Rattus norvegicus: one gene and its partners. Each later gene encodes a partner of the first gene's protein in a complex. Links are inferred from orthologs where the notes say so. Each region holds a gene or a part of one and is shown on either strand. Other genes may lie near its edges. The genes, in order: Fgf23, Fgfr3, Fgfr4 and Fgfr1.

Region 1 (3,556 bases):
GACTCTTTGTCTTCTTGTCTTTACATGCTAGTCATACAATCTTCCTCCTAATCGATTACAAATAGCAGAGCATGGTTTAATTATGACCTCATTCATTTATTTTTTTCGTTTATTGTACTTTATCGGTATGACTGTCTTGTTTGCATATATGTGTGCACACCACATGCATGCAGTACTGGAAGTCATTACAGCTTCAGGAAGACAAAATGAGGCAAATGCTTCTACAGTCCCATTTCAAAGCTTTGCTTTAGTAAATTCGTGGTTTAGAGTTGAGTGTCCGACTCCTGCTCTGGTCATTGGTCTTGACAAGATGGAATGAACTGCCCCAAAGATGCTCTAAGCTCCCCTGAGCTCAGAAGGCTCTTGGATCTCTTCAGGGTCAGTAAGCTTTTTCTAATCTGAGCAAGCCCAGCTTCCCATTCTCCATCAGGCACGGAGTTTGCAAATAGCAGAAGAGACTTGCTTATCGCTTTTGCTTAGGAGCCCACTCTTTCCCTGGGTGGCTTAGCCTGTGCTTGGCCAAGTGAATTTCTCTGCTAACTTTTGTTGATTTCAAAAACAAAAAACAAAAAACAAAAAACAAAAAACAAAAAAAACCTAAGCGCTCCCCGTCGGAAGCCACTGGCCCTAGAATGAGGGCATGTATACTGTGCTCACTGTCTGCAGTGTTTCCAATCATCAGACAGGCTGGCATGACGTCAGGGTGTGGGTGTGGTCAACTGTCAGGTTGCCTCTTGGAAGCCATTAGCAATTTTGATGGTGATAACACTGCAAAGCAGGCTGGAACTGCTATGTTATGCTCTGGAGACTATGGCAGTCCCACAGGCTGCCCTGGGCTGTGGCAGTGAGACTCCTGTGGCTACAGGGCACTTAAGGAGCCACACAGGGCATCATCCCTCATGGGCACAGACACTTGGTGTCCCCGTGATATTTCAGTACCTTCTCTGTTAGAGGCTACAGCTGCAGGGCAGGAAGATGTCACTGACCTGAGTTTGAATCCTTCTTTGTCTCTTAAAGATGCTTCTACAATTGCTAAAATGATAATGATGTTAATTTTAACGAAATAACAGTTGTTTTGAGAATTTAAAATAGAGTACATAAGAGGGCACACACAAAAAAAAAAGAAAGAAAAGAAAACTTCACTAAATGTAATCTCCTGCCCCCCCCCATTTGATTGAACCAAAAAGCTCTCAGGACATAAATTCCTCTGTATTTCATTATGTATGTCTGGGCTTACATAAAATCAGCCATGTATCTGAGACACATAGCCAAATGCCATTTTGGAAGACTACGTGTGGTACCTCTCCACTCTTGCCAGTTTTCATGAATGCTAACCCACACACAAACTCTGAAACAAATGAAGTTCCCTGATTGGTCCTCTCTGCCGTCATCTTCCCAGGCTCAGGCCTACCCTCATTCCCTTTGAGCACATCAACCAGCTTCAGCCTGTACCAGCTTCTGTAGTTAGGCAACACGTAACCTTTGCCTGCTCACTCCCCTTGAAAGTCTTCGTTTGGAGTCTACATGGGGTAGGAAAGAAGCCTTGGGCTTCAAATTATCCCATGAAGCTCTACCACATGTTAGTCACAGACTGTGTTCTCTTAAGAGGAATTAAAAGTCCTATCAGGGCAGGCTCCTTGGGGCTGTGAAATGAGGTTCAGCAGGCAGTTGGAAGTGTCCTTAAACATCTAAGCAAATTATTTCTAACAGAAAATATCCAGTCTTGCTGATCACCATACATTTTACAGCACAGTGTGGCTTAATCTTATCTTTGGTACAGAACACCCATTTAAAGGTATTGACCATTGTCTAAAATGATACAAGCATGCTCCAAGCCTTAGTCAAAGGCAAGCTTTCAAGTGGGGCCATTGGAAGATGCCCAGGACCAGCATCTATGAAGAACATCTCCAACTGAGAAGAGACACAAAGGACTGGGTCCAAAAAAGCAAATTCTATCTATCCCTGGATCCCATCTACTAAACATGAGGAAGGGCCCTGCTCCTCTGGGGGAAGGTTTTAGGCGTGCAAATATGGTAGCGTGGTGGGGGGTACACTGTAGTAACAGCAGGGGCACTGTGCTAAAGAGCAATCGGTTTTGATTAGGGAGATAAGAAGGCTCAGAGATGGCTGCGACTGGCCTTGAAGGTTAAACAACTTCAACAGGCAGGGAAGAGAGATCAGCTTCATATTGGTTGAGACATGCAGTGGGGAAGAACCAGGCTCTCTACAGTGGGGTCTTTGAATAAAATTCAACATACATTTTAACATCATAGAAACAGATGTCTTAGACAGGGACAATGGCTGCCTTAAACACTAAAAGATACTAGCCAGGCAAAGAGGGGGTAGCAATGGGTGGAGGACAATCTGTATGCTACACAGATGGGGGATTATTGGGAGATCGAGACTCGTGCAGTAAGAGGATGAAACAGGAGGTACATAAGTGTTGGTGTTGGAGTTGGGGTCACGGAAATGAAAGAGACAGTAAGACACGGAGGGGCTGTGTAATGCCGCCCCCTACAGAGAGGTGTCTCGGAGGTGTCTTTTCAGAGAGCATTTCAAGGAAGGGAAAACTGCACAGTTTGACCTGAGAGGTCCTCTTACAGGTGCCCTGATGATCACATCAGAGGATGCTGGCTCCGTAGTGATAATAGGGGCCATGACCAGAAGGTTCCTTTGTATGGATCTCCGCGGCAACATTTTTGGATCGGTGAGTTTCTTTATGTGATGGTCACCACATTATAATGACTGTCTCTCCTTTTCTAAGATTCGAGTTTTAAAATTGTATGCCTGTGTGTGGGAACTGAACTCTGGGACAGAAGAATGTACAAAAGCTTAATCACTGAGCCATCTTTCCCTCTCTTTACTGTATCAGGGCTTTAGAGATTCCTTGATCATTCAGTCTTAGGGAATGTTCAAGATTTCACAGCTGCGGTTTGGAATGAGGCTCTGGGCCTTTAGTCTGCCCTGTCGCCTAAGACCCATTCTTGCATGGAGCACAGTCCCTAGTATGTTGTAGGTTCTAAAGCCATGTCAAATATGTTTCTAATTCATACATTAGAAAGGGTGAGAGGTTCTTGGTGTCTTCTCAGTTCTGTTACAGACCATGACCTTGGGTAACTCCCCTCACTCCTTCCAATTTCAGTTTCTTCCCTTGGAATAAGTGAGGTGGAATGGACCACGTGACTTGCAGCTCTCCCTCCTATTAATGACCTCCGATTAATTTCCTGTGCCCTTGGGGGTGATGGCTGGCCCTTCAGATCATAAATCAAGGTTTTCCTAACCTAAAGGCTTAAAGTGTAGTCCAAGTAATTTTGACATACAAACAAAGAAAGATAAGTTGATTCAGGAATCTCTTATCAATGCCCTCTACAACGTTCCTGAGGTAAAAGATTTCTGTTCTGTTACCGCGGTGCACCTCCCAGCACCTATAATGCCATCTGTCCAGGGTAGATAGATTTCTACACACACAGAAAGCCCTCTCCTCCAGAATTCTTTGTACAGTTTGGGAAACAATGTCGCATGTAAAGATCCAAGCAGGCACTCAATGAAGCTCAGT
Region 2 (4,184 bases), on another chromosome or scaffold:
CCTCCAGACGAAGGGGGTGGACACAGGGGTCAGAGCTCACATTCTGGTTCATTTACTGATAACTAATCTGCCAATAGATTAGGGGAGAATGTCTGCTATGACCCCCTGGGGTGGCATCCTGGGAGAGGGACTGTGGGCAGCTGCCTGGGGGTGTCATGGGAACCCAGGACTGGATTCTAGCCAGTCTGCAGGGAGGGGTGCTTGGCTAGAGCAGGAGTAACAGTCGGTAGAGCTGCCCAGCTCTTGAGTGGACACGGGATTGCATGAGGGCTCTGGGGGCAGGGCCCTGCTCAGCTCTCTGGGAAAGATAAGAGCGATCAGTGAGCCAGTGAAGTGTTTGCATGGCCCACTTGCCTTTTTTTTTTTTTTTTTTTTTTTTTTTTTTTTTTTTTTTGACAGTGTAAAGTCCCTCGAGTCACACACAGCCAGACTGGGCAGAAGCACTGAGCCAAGACCTCAGGTATCTGGCTCCCATAGGCCTCATCAGACCTTGTGGAGTTTGAAAATGAGACAAGGCTCCCTGCTTTGGGAGGGTAGATACAGAGGCCATCAGTCACAGGGTGGTGTTGGTTGCTGTCACAGAAGTTCTGCCAGGCAGGACCTATAGCTCGCCAGCACGATAGGGTGACCAGGCTGATCCTCCAGGGACCAGCTGTCAGTGTGACACTCTCCAGATGGAATGTGTCCCCAAGATGGGTGTGCTGTGCTAGGGCATCTTTAGGCTAGAGTTCAGGCAGCCCTGGGGCAGGGCAGGCTCCCCTACTTTGTATCCTCAGCTCTTCTTGTTATTCTGAGGCTGGGTAAGTTTCTTCCAAACCTATGTGTTCTTGGGGGAAGCGTGGCTATCATTCCTGAGAAGGATGCGGGCCACTGGTTGGTTTGATAAATACAGCAGCATGTCCTCCTTTTCTAGGGTGCAATCCCTGTGTCTTCCATCACATAAACTCTGCCCCATCCTTCACTGAAAGGTCTCTTCACACGTATTTGTCTTCCCAGAATACTGTCGGGGCTCTGCATCTAAGCATTTAGCGTTCTTTGCCCAGGGTTCAGCTCAGGTGCCGGTTCACTGTGAAGATGCCCTAACACCTGGACCCCCACCGAGGTCAACCCTCTGAGCCCCTGAGCACAGCATTATTGGAGAAGCGTGCTGGTAGACAGTCCTGAGCTCCGCATTGCTTCGAGGGGTCGAGTGTGCGACCCTGGCCTCGCCCGCTCCGCCCCAGCTGGGCTCCCACGCCCTCCGGGACCGCCCGGCGCCCCCGCCTGACCACGCCTCTTCGGATCCCCCGCCCCTTGGCCGCCGGGGAAGGGGAGTGTTCGGGGCGTGGCGGGAGCAGCCCCCCCCCCCCCGCTGCTGCGCGCCGGGCAGCCCCAGTTCAGTGAGCTGTGGCAGCGGGGGTGGCGGGAGCAGCTGGCGCCGTGCGGTCCGCTCCGGCGAGGGGACTCACCGGTGGGGTGGGCGGCCGGCCACTGGGACAGAGGAGAGCCTGGAAGAGCCGGCCGAGAGCCGAAGCCGGAGCCGCGAGTGGTGAGCTGGGCTCTAGCGGCGGCCGCCAGGTTGGTGTGAAGGACTCCGCTGGCGCTCGGAGGGGCCGGGCGGGCTCAGAAGCAGTCAGGGGGTGCGATGGGGTGGAAGTGGAGCAGTCTGTAAGTGCGGGGAGGCCAGGCAAGGCTCGGGCTTCCCGCTCTGGAAAGTTTGCGGCTACTGCGGCCGTCCTGGGAGGGCTCTGCGGCAACCAGGGAGGGAAGGAGGAGGGAGGAACCGCGGCTGGGAGGAGGCGGCCGGCGCCAGGCAGCCCGGGAGAGCTAGGAGTCGGCGGGCGGGCGGGCCGGGCTGCCGGGGTCCCGGCTCAGGAGCGAGGCCGCGCTTCCCCGCTGCCCTCCGGAGTAACTCAGTGTTCTTCTCCTGTAGTCTCCGCAGCGGCGCCGGAGCCGGGTGTGGGGGGTTGCAGCATGCCCGCGCGCATCGCTTGAGGACGCCACGGCCCCAGCTCCGGAGCCATGGTAGTCCCGGCCTGCGTGCTAGTGTTCTGCGTGGCGGTCGTGGCTGGAGTTACTTCCGAGCCTCCCGGTCCAGAGCAGCGAGTTGGTCGGAGAGCGGCAGGTAAGGACGGACCCAAGCTGTTTTTCCGGTAACCGGCCCTGGACTCTAGGGGTTTTGGCATCAGCGAACAGCCCTTGGGTGAGGAAGGGGCATTGGGTTGAGTAGCACCACAGGGGCCAGTGCGCCTGGGTTTTGTTCCCCGGCCTGCAGATAGCTGTCAGCTCGGACGCGGCAGTTTATGGGGGTGTCTGTAGGCTGAGAGCCACCACCCAAGTGCGAGGCGTCACGGGGAGCGGTGCGCCGTGGCGGTGGTCCCAGGCCGAGGTGCGTCGGGAAGGCGCGCAAGCTGACTTCCCACGATGCCTATTGTTGCTTCTCGGATTTGAGAGGACGAAAAGTGCCTGGTTATTGGTTCCGCCATCCTCCCGGAATAGTTCTTGCTCTGCTTCTGCTAAAGGAAGGCTCGACATTGCGGAGTGGATAGTAGTATCTCAGCCAAAGCTCAGCTCTCAGTGTCTCGCATGACAAGGTGACAGCTTCAGAGCCGCCGCTCCCCTCTTATCCCGTACGCTGCCTGAGGGGTCGGTTCCCAGGGGCGCGCACGGACCGCCCTGCAGGCCGCACGCTGGGAGATGAGGGGCGGTTGTCCCAAGATCTTGGCACCGCCTAGATAGTCCTCTGGCCGCCAAAGTCCGATGGGACACTGAGTGCCCTCAAACGGGGCTGGAGGCCAAGGATACGAAAAGGAGCCACGGTCCGCTCTGCGTCCCGCGGCTGCCCGGAGGTGCGACGCGCGCGGCCCCCGGCTGTGCCCGGTGGCAGCGTGGCAAAGCAGAGCAGCGGTCTGGCGGGAGGCCGCGCGAAGGGAGGCTTTCGCTCGGTAAGCTGTTGCCCCACCCGAGCTGAGGCCCGAACAGCCGCTCCTTTGTACCTCGGCGGCCACAGACCGCGCATTGATGGCGGCGTTGCCTCTCGGGGAGGTGCGAGTGCGGCGGGCGCAGCGGGAGGAGGCAGATGGCGGTGTGCCCCTCCCGCGCCCCCGCGCCCCTCTCTCCAGCGGCTGGAGCCTCCTGGAACAATGTCATTTTTTTTCCTTTCTTTCTTTCTTTCTTTCTTTCTTTCTTTCTTTCTTTCTTTCTTTCTTTCTTTCTTTCTTTCTTTCTTTCTTTCTTTCTTTCTTTTTTTTTTTTTTATGAATGAAAGTGGGCCGGGAGTTTGAATGTGCGTGTCTTTCAGCGGCGTGACAGAGGCGGTCGGGAGGTCAGCGCGCGCTTTTAGCGCCTGCTACGATTGCCTAGCTTCCCGGGCGCCCAATGGCCGGCTGAGGGACCACATTAGCATGTGCATTCAGATGAAGATATTACTCTTTGCGTCGGGTGTCAGTGAGCTCGGGTAGGGGCGGCGGGGCGGAGCGCACATCCTCTCTGTGCTCCAGGCAGTGACTGTGGCCTCCTGGCACGACCCTGCTGCGGGAACCGAAGCTGAGCTAGGCCTCCAGGGATCGGTGGGATGTGCGCCTGCCCTTCACTTCTGAGTTTGAGCTGGTGAGACAGGTAGGGAATTGATAGGCCAATAAACTTAATCCGGTTCCTTAACGAGATGGGCCGGGCTGTAAAAATACAAAGACTGGTGAAGTTTACAGAGGTCCGGGCTGGCGCTTTCCCTACGAACATAAATTACCAAGCTGGAGCTGGCTGGGGTCAAGGGCTGTGGGGCGGGGCTAGGTGCCAGTCTAACTTGGCCACCCTTGGTGAGGGAAGCCCTGCTGGTGTGCTTAGTTTGGAGAGAGTAACATAGGGGGTCCAGAGGTTGACCCCCAGGCCGGCTTGCAGAAGCAGGGCCTTTCTCCTCCCTTGTACCCCACCTTCCCCCGCGCTCGGAAGGCTGAACTTTGAGCCCTGCTGGCCCTCCCGGTGGTTCATTAACCTGGGCTGATCTTAGACCCTGAAGCTTTAGATCTTATATCGAGCCTAGAATCACCTTGTCCCCCCCAGGTCCCAGGTTCCACTTGGGATCTGGAAACCCCCCGCCCCCCCCCCGCTTTTTTTTTCAGTAGCACCTAAAAGGAAAACGAGTTACCCGGGTTAGGGGGTAGATGATGTCTTGGGGAGAGGTGACCTGCCAGGTTGAAAATTTGCTG
Region 3 (4,278 bases), on another chromosome or scaffold:
TTTGGGGGTAGAGGAGAGCTCTGGTCAGCACTGGTCCCATTCTTTGTTTTGCAGATGAAGACCCAGAGACAGGAAGCAGTCAGCAGGCTCATCCAAACCCCACAAGGCATAGCAGGGCAGAGACTGGAGCCAGCACTGCTGGGCAGAGCCCTGGCCTCCCCATAGGAGGTTCTGCAGGGCGTGTGCGGACTTCCTGCTGTCTTGGGTCCTACTGTGACCTGGCATGCCTTCACAGAGAGAGCAGTCTCGGGATTCTTTCCTTGGGAGGAAGCAGAGATGGCGGCTTATCCTGGACACATCATTTATTTTCTGCTGAATAAATGAATTCATTGCTGAAGGCTCAAAGAAGAAAAGGGAAACCTAATACAAGGCCAGCCTTCAGCATCTGGACGCCATCGGATGGGACCTCGCTCTTGAGTATTATTGGCATTTCCACATCCAGCTTGGGATGCCTCCAGTGGTGGGTGCCCAAAGGAGGTGCAGCCCAAATCGAGGACATTCTTTCTCCTTCTGAGCCAGGAAAGCATCCTGAGGACACTTCCGGTGGTTTGCACCCTCACGGCTCTGTCTTAGACAATGTAGGAGCTCGCTCCGCTTTGTTTATTGTTTTTGTTTTTTTCTGAGTTGTGGATTGAACCTGAGACCTCCCTGCATGCTAAGCAAAGCCTCTGCCACCGCTTTCGTGTCGAGGTGGCTTGGGAATTGACACAGATTTTACACGTCTGGTAGCAACAATTTCAAATCCCGGTTTCCCACCAAGACCTACCTTTCTGAACCGTTATCATCATAAGGTTGCTTCAGGGACAAAGAGGGACCATACATGGAGGGATGGCACACACACAGAGCATTATTGGTGAGATGTTCTCACTGTCCCCATACTGAGTGTGCACCTTGGTCTGACCTTAATCAGTGTCTACTTGTGCAGTAGATACACACGCTTGTCCAAATGCTGCTGTGAGCGTCTGTTTCCCTAAAGGAAGACTCTGGCGTAAGCCTTAACTTGACCAGGAAACCAGTGGAGTCCCAGGGACACACAGGCTGTTACCTATCCTGGATAGCAACCAGGTATCACCAGCATCTTTGGATCAGGGTTCTTTCCCTTAGGACCCTGCTTTTGTTGGGCAAGGGCTTTGTGAGTGTGTATGAGGTCCTTGCACAGGGGCTGTGCTAATTTCTGTATTGGTCCAACTTTAGTACCTAACCAAACTGGGAACCCTGCCCAGGGAGCCCATTATACCCATTCTACCATTCTCAGCCCACTGCTGAGGAAGACACAGGCCTAAGCCTTGGTTGGTCCACTGACCTCATCAATGTCTCTCAGCTTTCCTACCCCACTTAGGTTAAGTCATGGTCATTTCTTGCTTGGTATCTTGGCAAATCTCAGGTCTTCACCGCCCAGCTGTTTGTTTGGCCTTTTTTGTTTTGTTTTGGTCTGGTCCCTGATGGTTGTGAGCCACCATGTGGTTGCTGGGAATTGAACTCAGGACCTCTGAAGAGCAGTCAGAGTTCTTAACCACTGAGCCATCTCTCCAGCCCTGTTTTCTCCCTGTTACCTAGTTTACAAGCCCCTGAGGGTTAACTGCAGACCTGCAGACCGCCCTTTTCCTCTCTCTCTCTCTCTCTCTCTCTCTCTCTCTCTCTCTCTCTCTCTCTCTCTCTCTATTATTTTGAGACAAATTCTCACTAAAGTTGGCCAGGCAGACTGGCATTGAAACTCACTCTGTAAACCGAGTAGGTCTTCAACTTGTAAGCCTCCTGCCTCAGCCTGGCTAGCCCCCGTTAAGGCCCTTCATTTTAAACGCCAGTGTTAGTCCCACTGTCTGTCCCTTCAGTAAATTCTAAAAGCCAGCACGTTTACTTTCCTGTCTGTACCTCTGTGTCACTCATTCCTTTTGTCGACCAGCTTAGCTATCATTTTAAAACCCCCCTTGACATGGGGGTTGGGGATTTAGCTCAGTGGTAGAGCGCTTGCCTAGCCAGCGCAAGGCCCTGGGTTCGGTCCCCAGCTCCGGAAAAAAAACAAAACAAAAAAAAAGAACCTTGACCTGTCCCCCTACCCTTAGTTTGGTCTGCTCATCGGCAAAAGACTCCTACCACACCCTGCTAAGCAGAGAGGGCCGATTTTCGTCTCCAGCTTGGATTGGGGTGGACAGGTCCAGGGAGGTTTTATTCCCACTCCCACGCTGCCCTGAACTCTCAATCACAGAGTTCTTAGTCTGGTCACTTCTGCTGGCCGCTGAGGATTGCTAACCCTTAGTTGTCCTGCACTCACACGAAGAGGTGCTCTGTGCAAGTGACTGCGAGAGTTAATTTCCTCATCAATTTGGCCAGAGCGCGTCTGTCACCCAGCCCAAAGGCGACAGTGCTCTTATTTTAGTGCCCCTATCCCGTCGCCCTCGGAGGAAGGTGCACGTCAACGGTCTCCATGCGGAGTTGCATAGACAGCTGGCCCATCGCCCCCGCCTCGGTGGGCAATAAGTAACCAGAGCGGTGACCAGGGTGCTCTTTGAACGGAGGGGGACAAAAGGCCCTGTGTGCGCTGCGGGTTACTGATTTACCGTCCCCTCCACCCAACCACTCCCGCCGCGCGGGCGCCAAGGTCCCCGGGACTGAAGGGGCAGCTCCCGAGCTCCACCGCCGCGGTCCCCAAGGCGGCCCGGAGTACGGTGTGTGGCCCGGCTTGCCCAGAGTTAGAGGGTCGGCTCCCTGTGCAGGGGCTCGGCTCACCTGGCTCCTCCGCCACCCGGTTCCCGTGCTCGGGGGTCACGATCCCGGCAGGGCTGGCACACTCACCCGCCTGGAGCTCCTCCGCCCCGGGCCGAAGAGCCAGGAATGTCCCTGCAACTACAGCGTGGCGGGGGGCTGCCCACCTCCTGCCCCGCCCACCTCGGGCTCCGCCCCTCCTGGACCAGTTCTGATCTGAGAGGCGTGGTTCGAGATCTGGCTAAAGTCAGCCGGGCACCCAAGTGCAAGAGCTCCGGGTGGTACTGGATTTCCCAGTCTCAGCCGCTCCAGGGCCCCTGGTACAACCTGCGAGGTGTGACCTGCTACTTGCTCTATTCTTTGCTCTACACCACCTTGGAACTCACCAGGCTCTCTGGTTTCCCGTGCAATCGCAGTACCTCTGATAGATCTGACCTCTTCTTTGCCTGAGCGACCTTCGGAGGATATTTAAAATGCATCTCCGTCGGGGTGGTGGTGGTAGTGGTGGCGTCGCATTCCTTTAATCCCAGCACTGGGGAGGCAGAGGCAGGTGGATCTCTGTGTTTCAGGCCAGCCTGGTCTACATAGGGAGTTCCAGGACAGCCATGGCTACACAGAGAAACCCCGTCTCAGGGCGGGGTGGGGGTGGGAGACAAAACAACCAACCAACAAGCCAACTAAATATATAAATAATTTAAAATAAATAAAGTACATATTCAGGCCGAGCCTGGTAATCCCAGCTACTCAAAAGGGTAAGGCACAAGTGACACAGCGACTCAATGAGACTCAGTCTGAAAAGAAAATAAAAACAAAAGCAAAACCACAAAAAGCACCGCCGCTGTCACCACCACCACCACCACCACCACCACCACCAACAACAACAACAACAACAAAACCCACAAACAAACAGGGAGCCTAGCAGTTGAGCAAGGCTCTAAAATCCTAGTGTAAAAGACAAACGCTGGAACTTTCTTTTTAAAAACATTTATTTATTTATTTATTTATTTATTTATTTATTTATTTATGTGCATTGGTGTTTTTCCTCCATGTATGTACATGTGAGGGTGTTGGATCCCCCGGAACTGGAGTTACAGACAGTTGTGAGCTGCCTGTAGGTGCTGGGAATTGAACCAGGATTCCTCTGGAAGAGCAGCAAATACTTACTACTCTATCGGGCCTACCTTGCTCTTTTTTAAAAATTAAAAATTTAAACTTTAGCTTTTAAAAAGTTGTAGTCTTTACTTTTTTTCTTTTCTTTTTTTTTTTTCGGAGCTGAGGACCGAACCCAGGACCTTGCGCTTGCTAGGCAAGCGCTCTACCACTGTAGTCTTTACTTTTAAACGTTTAAATGTTCATTTTAAAAAGTTTTAATTTTGTTGTTAAAAAGATTTATTTTATATTCTGCTTTGCTTGCGTGTTTGTCTAATTGCCTGCAGATACCAGAAGAGGGCCGATTTTCCTGGAACTGGAGTCATAGACTTGAATCCAGATCCTCTGAAATGGTAGCCAGTGCCTTTAATCAGGGACGTATTTCTCTGGCCCTTAAACTTTACTGTTAAGTTTATTTGTTTTTGT
Region 4 (4,088 bases), on another chromosome or scaffold:
GTTGGCGGGTATTAGTTGAGCTTGTTGGCCTTAGGTCACTGAAAGGAAGAGGCACCACCCCAGCGTGGGGGTAATTGGCTAGACGGTGGCTGGTCCCAGGGGCCAGCTACTTAGCTTTAAAACAAGCCCCAGAGAGGAAACCCGGAGCCTGGCCAAGGGAGGAAGAAGGCCACTTTCTGTTCAACCATCTCAGGGCAATGGCTCTACAATTTAGATACTATTCCAAAAAAAGCAATGGTCCGGAGGTGAGAAGACCAGAGCACATCTGGGAAGGAAACAGTCACCTTAATTACCATGTCTAGAGAAAGTGCGATTTCATTACAGCCTCCAAAACTACCGCCCCAAGAAGGAAACCAGAGAAGTGTTTTCAATTTAAAAGACTGGAGAGGGTGAGAGGCACCAGCCCACTCTACCCACCCAGCCGCTAACTTTGGACCTTTTGGATGCTTTGTTGCCCCCCCACCCCCTTCCAAAGGAGTGGACATTCCATCCCTGGCCCTGTAGTCATTGTTTAAACGGCAAAAACACTCCAGTTTAAGCTTCTGAGGACTGCAACCCAGGAAATTCACTGAAAACATAAGGTGTCTCTGGCAGCTACAGTACCAGGGGCTGCGCCCTGCTCCCCAAATGGAGGACGGAACCCGGAGAGGGACTGGGACGCGTGGCGATAGGTGGGCCCGTTGTGTCCACATGAGACAGGCGCTCCAACTATAATTAAAGGGAGAGGCGATACTTGGTTCCAATACACGTCGGGGCCAATTTTGGCTCAGCCCACCGACAAAGGCTACCTCTAGTAAGCAAGCGGCTCTCAAGAGGGTCCAAAGATTCTTAAACACCTCCCCCTCCCCCATCGTCGGCCACCAGCAAGAGAGTGGAAGAATCCAAAACCACTTGCGGATCTATAACTTTCTTTTCTCCTCCAATCCCAAAGCTTCCTCTCCATGTCTCAAGAAATTTTAAGGGGTAGTGGCGGCGGTGGTAAAGACTAGTCCAAGAATCTCAGTTTTAATTTAGGAGGGGGAGGGGAGGAAGAGGGATGTTTAATAATGTGGCTGCGGTGTACCCCGTGTAGGGTGAAACGGAACCAGATGCGGCAGCTACATCTGGGAAATGGGGGGTAGGGTAGGGGGAAAAAAACGCCGTCGAAATGCTTTGCAAATGAGTTAATAGCTTCTAGGCCCAGAAAAGGAGAACTCCCTCCTGTACTCCCAAGGTGTCCAGCTGCCTCACTGGGGGTAAATGTCTATTACAAACCCCATCTATATATTTAAAAAAAAAGTGAGCACATTCCTCCAAAAATATGAATAGTAGGTTGTCTTACCGCGCCGAAGACACCACAGGAGGAGGTGCAGGAAGCGCGGAGAGGGGGTCTGGGCCAGAGAAGCAACAAGCGGGCGGAGGAGGGTTCCACACCGGACAAGCTCTCCTCTCTTCCTCCACTTCCTAGAACGGTCAGACCCCGAGGGCCCCCTCCCCTTCTCCAGACACCTTCAAGAGTCCTCTAGATCTAAGACAAAATAGAACATCACCACCACCACCCCTCAAAAGGGGGGAATCTTTGCTCACTCTCCTCCGCTAAAACCGATTCAGCCATTTGGTGACGAGACCTCCTTCAAACCTATTCCAAGACAAGCTAGCCTTCCCCGCCACTTCCTTTCCTCCTCAACCCCCCAACCTGGACCCCAGACTTGCCGGGAGGTGGAAAAACACTTGAAAAGATCCCAGATGTGGGGTGTTGAGCCCAAAGCCACCGGCTGAATCAGGATGAATCCTCAAGAAGACCAAAAGATGATGCGTGTGTACACACACACACACACACACACACACACACGCACACACACACACTCACATGCACACACTCTCCACCTCCCAGCCCACTCCCGCCCTCCTCCCCAGTAGGGAACACACGGCTTCCGCCGCCTTCTCCTGGGCCGGGAGGGTCGGGGTCTGGACTCGAGCGCCGCAGCTGCCTCGCTAGCTCCGGAGCGCGAGTTGGCGGAAAAAGTTGGGCAGCGGGCAGCAGCGGCGGCCCCGCGCGCGGGGAGGGGGCGCGGGCGGCGACACTGGCCGAGGGAGGAGGGACAGGGGCGCCGGGGAGGGAGCGGAGCAGGGGGAGGGGGGTCGGAAGAGGGAGGCGCGGGCTGCGACTGGCGAAGCGCGGGGGCCGCTCGGGACGCCCAGCCAGCCGGCTCTGCGGGCGCCGGCGACTCTTACCTCACTTGGCGCTGCGGTCCCGCCTCTGGAGAGCTCGCCGTGGCGCGGCGGGTGTCTGTGTCTTGCGCTCCAGCAGCTCGTCCCTGGGATCCGTTCAGGTCCTGGTGGGGTCTCGAGAGCTCCGCGGCCGAGGCACGACTCCCGGCGGCACTCGGAGCCGGGCGCCTCCAGCCCGGGCGGGAACAATGGAGCCGAAGCTGGTGCCCCGGAGGCGGGGCGGGGGGGAGGGCTCGGGTCCGCCGCCGGGGGTCCCCAGATCGTGCGCCCCCCGCTCTCCAGTACGCGGCGGCGGCGTCGTCTCAGGCTTCTGGTAGCCCGAGTTCCATCGCCCCTCCGAGGGCTACGGCGGGCATTGACTGCAGCACGGCTGTGGTGCGCCTCTGGGACCTGAGAAAAGTCCTCGGTCTCCGCTGCTTTTCCAGCTGCGGCGCGCGCTCGCGGCCGGGAAAGGCGAGGTCGCCGCAATGCGCTAAGCACAGTCTCCGTCCAGTCCGGACGTTGCGGCCCCGTTCCCTGCGCAGCCCGGATCCTCGGCACGCAGCGGCTGCACCGGCGTTCCGGCTCGCGTTCGGCGCCACCGGCTGCCGAGAGCCCCGCAAAGGTTCCCGCAGGAGCGCTCCGAGCGCTGTGCGCCGGCGAGGCGCGAGGGCTCGCTCTCTCACTCCCACCCGGCGCTAGTCCCACCTCCTCCTCCTCCCCCTGCAGTTGCCTGCTGGGCCTTGTAGTTCTCAAGTCGCAGCCCGGGAGAAGCCCGGAGCGAACAGAACTGTTCTACAGTCAGGTCTGACTTGAGTTTCGCCTGGAGGGCGCCCGAATTTCAGGCTGTGGGTAGATCAGCAATTTGGGGACCGAAGCGGAGGGCGGGGAGGGGCGGGGGCCTGGCTATAGTTTTGAGGCTGTACTTGGCAACTTGGTCTTTGGTTATCTGTGTGCCTTGGGGTATGATTTTCGTGCTCTGAATCTGTTTTCCTGTAATGTAAAAGGGAGATAATAATACAGGAAAAATACAGTAAAGTGGAGGAAAAAATCGGACCCTCATATAGTTCACAATAAATACAAACTGTTTTTATTGATGGATCGGTCAACTTTCCCCCTCAGACCTTTTCCTTGGATCTCAACTTTCCCCAGCCACATAATTTAGGTTTTGTGGTTCACTCCGGAATGGACCCTGTGAATTCTACAGTGCTGCTCGTTGTAGCCTCAGAAATCATTAGCTTTCAGGAAGCAAGCGAGGAGAGGAGGGGTTTGGTTTTGTTTTGTTTTGTTTTTCGGGTTAGGGTTGTTTACTTGCTTGCTTGTTTTGTTTTTTTCGCCTTAGGAATTAATCAGAGTCAACCCAGAGCCCCCATGTTATACTCTGAACCTCAAGGAAAAATCGCTGAAATGCCCTTCCCACCAGATCCATTCACAGAGCAGTTAATCTGTGGTTCTTTAATCCAACAGGTCCAGTGGACATGAATCACGTCGAGAATGTTGAAATATACAAATATTCCAGTCCTACTTGGACACGAGGAATCCCGATATTTCTGTGAAACACACTAACAAGTATGAGACAGTTAGTAGGGTCTTTACATAGTTTCAGGAGCTCGGTTTCTAGCACCGAATAGGTCAAAAGTGACGATGCACACCTGCAAAGCTAGTGCTAGGAAGGTGGAGGATCAGAGGCTTAAAATCACCACCGTTGGCCGCATAAGAACTGAGAAGACAACCTGTGCTTACAGACCCTGTCTTGAACAAATTAAACAAATGGGCTGGGGTTGCAGCTTAGCTAGAAGACGGAGCTTTGATTCCAGCACACTCCAAACCTGACTAGGTGGTCCATGCCTCAGATTTGATACATGGCAATGGGGAGGGGGGGACACTCTGCCATGTGA

Evidence for each region.
Region 2: the proteins of Fgf23 (region 1) and Fgfr3 are in contact, whole or in part, in a cryo-EM structure (PDB 7YSU), measured with the Homo sapiens proteins. The link is inferred for Rattus norvegicus from reciprocal best matches to the Homo sapiens genes FGF23 and FGFR3. Residues at the interface, in NP_065689.1 of Homo sapiens: Ser29, Leu32, Gly33, Ser34, Trp36, Tyr43, Ala45, Ala47, Arg48, Asn49, Ser50, His52, Ile75, Arg76, Ser77, Glu78, Asp79, Ala80, Gly81, Val83, Val84, His117, Gln118, Thr119, Asn122, Gly123, Tyr124, Asp125, Leu158, Ser159; in NP_000133.1 of Homo sapiens: Glu157, Arg158, Asp160, Lys161, Leu163, Leu164, Ala165, Val166, Pro167, Arg223, Asp244, Leu246, Glu247, Arg248, Ser249, Pro250, Val277, Tyr278, Ser279, Asp280, Ala281, Gln282, Pro283, His284, Ala312, Gly313, Ala314, Thr316, Thr317, Asp318.
Region 3: the proteins of Fgf23 (region 1) and Fgfr4 are in contact, whole or in part, in a cryo-EM structure (PDB 7YSW), measured with the Homo sapiens proteins. The link is inferred for Rattus norvegicus from reciprocal best matches to the Homo sapiens genes FGF23 and FGFR4. Residues at the interface, in NP_065689.1 of Homo sapiens: Leu32, Gly33, Ser35, Trp36, Gly37, Tyr43, Ala45, Thr46, Ala47, Arg48, Asn49, Ser50, Ile75, Arg76, Ser77, Glu78, Asp79, Ala80, Gly81, Val83, Val84, Tyr93, His117, Gln118, Thr119, Asn122, Gly123, Tyr124, Asp125, Leu158; in NP_001341913.1 of Homo sapiens: Glu156, Lys157, Lys158, Leu159, His160, Ala161, Val162, Pro163, Asn166, Asp240, Leu242, Glu243, Arg244, Ser245, Pro246, Lys272, Val273, Tyr274, Ser275, Asp276, Ala277, Gln278, Pro279, His280, Ala308, Asp309, Ile310, Ser312, Gly336, Asn337.
Region 4: the proteins of Fgf23 (region 1) and Fgfr1 are in contact, whole or in part, in a cryo-EM structure (PDB 7YSH), measured with the Homo sapiens proteins. The link is inferred for Rattus norvegicus from reciprocal best matches to the Homo sapiens genes FGF23 and FGFR1. Residues at the interface, in NP_065689.1 of Homo sapiens: Leu31, Leu32, Gly33, Ser34, Trp36, Gly37, Tyr43, Ala45, Thr46, Ala47, Arg48, Asn49, Ser50, His52, His66, Ile75, Arg76, Ser77, Glu78, Asp79, Ala80, Gly81, Val83, Val84, Tyr93, Phe108, His117, Gln118, Thr119, Asn122; in NP_075598.2 of Homo sapiens: Glu159, Lys160, Glu162, Lys163, Lys164, Leu165, His166, Ala167, Val168, Pro169, Lys172, Gln244, Asp246, Val248, Glu249, Arg250, Ser251, Pro252, Val279, Tyr280, Ser281, Asp282, Pro283, Gln284, Pro285, His286, Ile287, Ala314, Gly315, Val316.

What each region holds. Positions count from the first base shown.
Region 1 is NC_086022.1:161,603,383-161,606,938, forward strand, and holds part of Fgf23 (fibroblast growth factor 23 precursor), read left to right. Parts: intron 1-2,603; coding exon 2,604-2,707; intron 2,708-3,556. UniProt on the Homo sapiens protein: Regulator of phosphate homeostasis. Inhibits renal tubular phosphate transport by reducing SLC34A1 levels. Up-regulates EGR1 expression in the presence of KL. Acts directly on the parathyroid to decrease PTH secretion. Regulator of vitamin-D metabolism.
Region 2 is NC_086032.1:81,224,404-81,228,587, reverse strand, and holds the start of Fgfr3 (fibroblast growth factor receptor 3 precursor), read left to right. Parts: upstream 1-1,378; 5' UTR 1,379-1,557; intron 1,558-1,912; 5' UTR 1,913-2,001; coding exon 2,002-2,104; intron 2,105-4,184.
Region 3 is NC_086035.1:9,478,540-9,482,817, forward strand, and holds the start of Fgfr4 (fibroblast growth factor receptor 4 precursor), read right to left. Parts: upstream 2,851-4,278; 5' UTR 2,728-2,850; intron 1-2,727. UniProt on the Homo sapiens protein: Tyrosine-protein kinase that acts as a cell-surface receptor for fibroblast growth factors and plays a role in the regulation of cell proliferation, differentiation and migration, and in regulation of lipid metabolism, bile acid biosynthesis, glucose uptake, vitamin D metabolism and phosphate homeostasis.
Region 4 is NC_086034.1:73,247,011-73,251,098, forward strand, and holds the start of Fgfr1 (fibroblast growth factor receptor 1 precursor), read right to left. Parts: upstream 2,846-4,088; 5' UTR 2,215-2,845; intron 2,045-2,214; exon of another isoform or gene 1,909-2,044; intron 1,840-1,908; exon of another isoform or gene 1,693-1,839; intron 1,615-1,692; exon of another isoform or gene 1,322-1,614; intron 1-1,321. UniProt on the Homo sapiens protein: Tyrosine-protein kinase that acts as a cell-surface receptor for fibroblast growth factors and plays an essential role in the regulation of embryonic development, cell proliferation, differentiation and migration.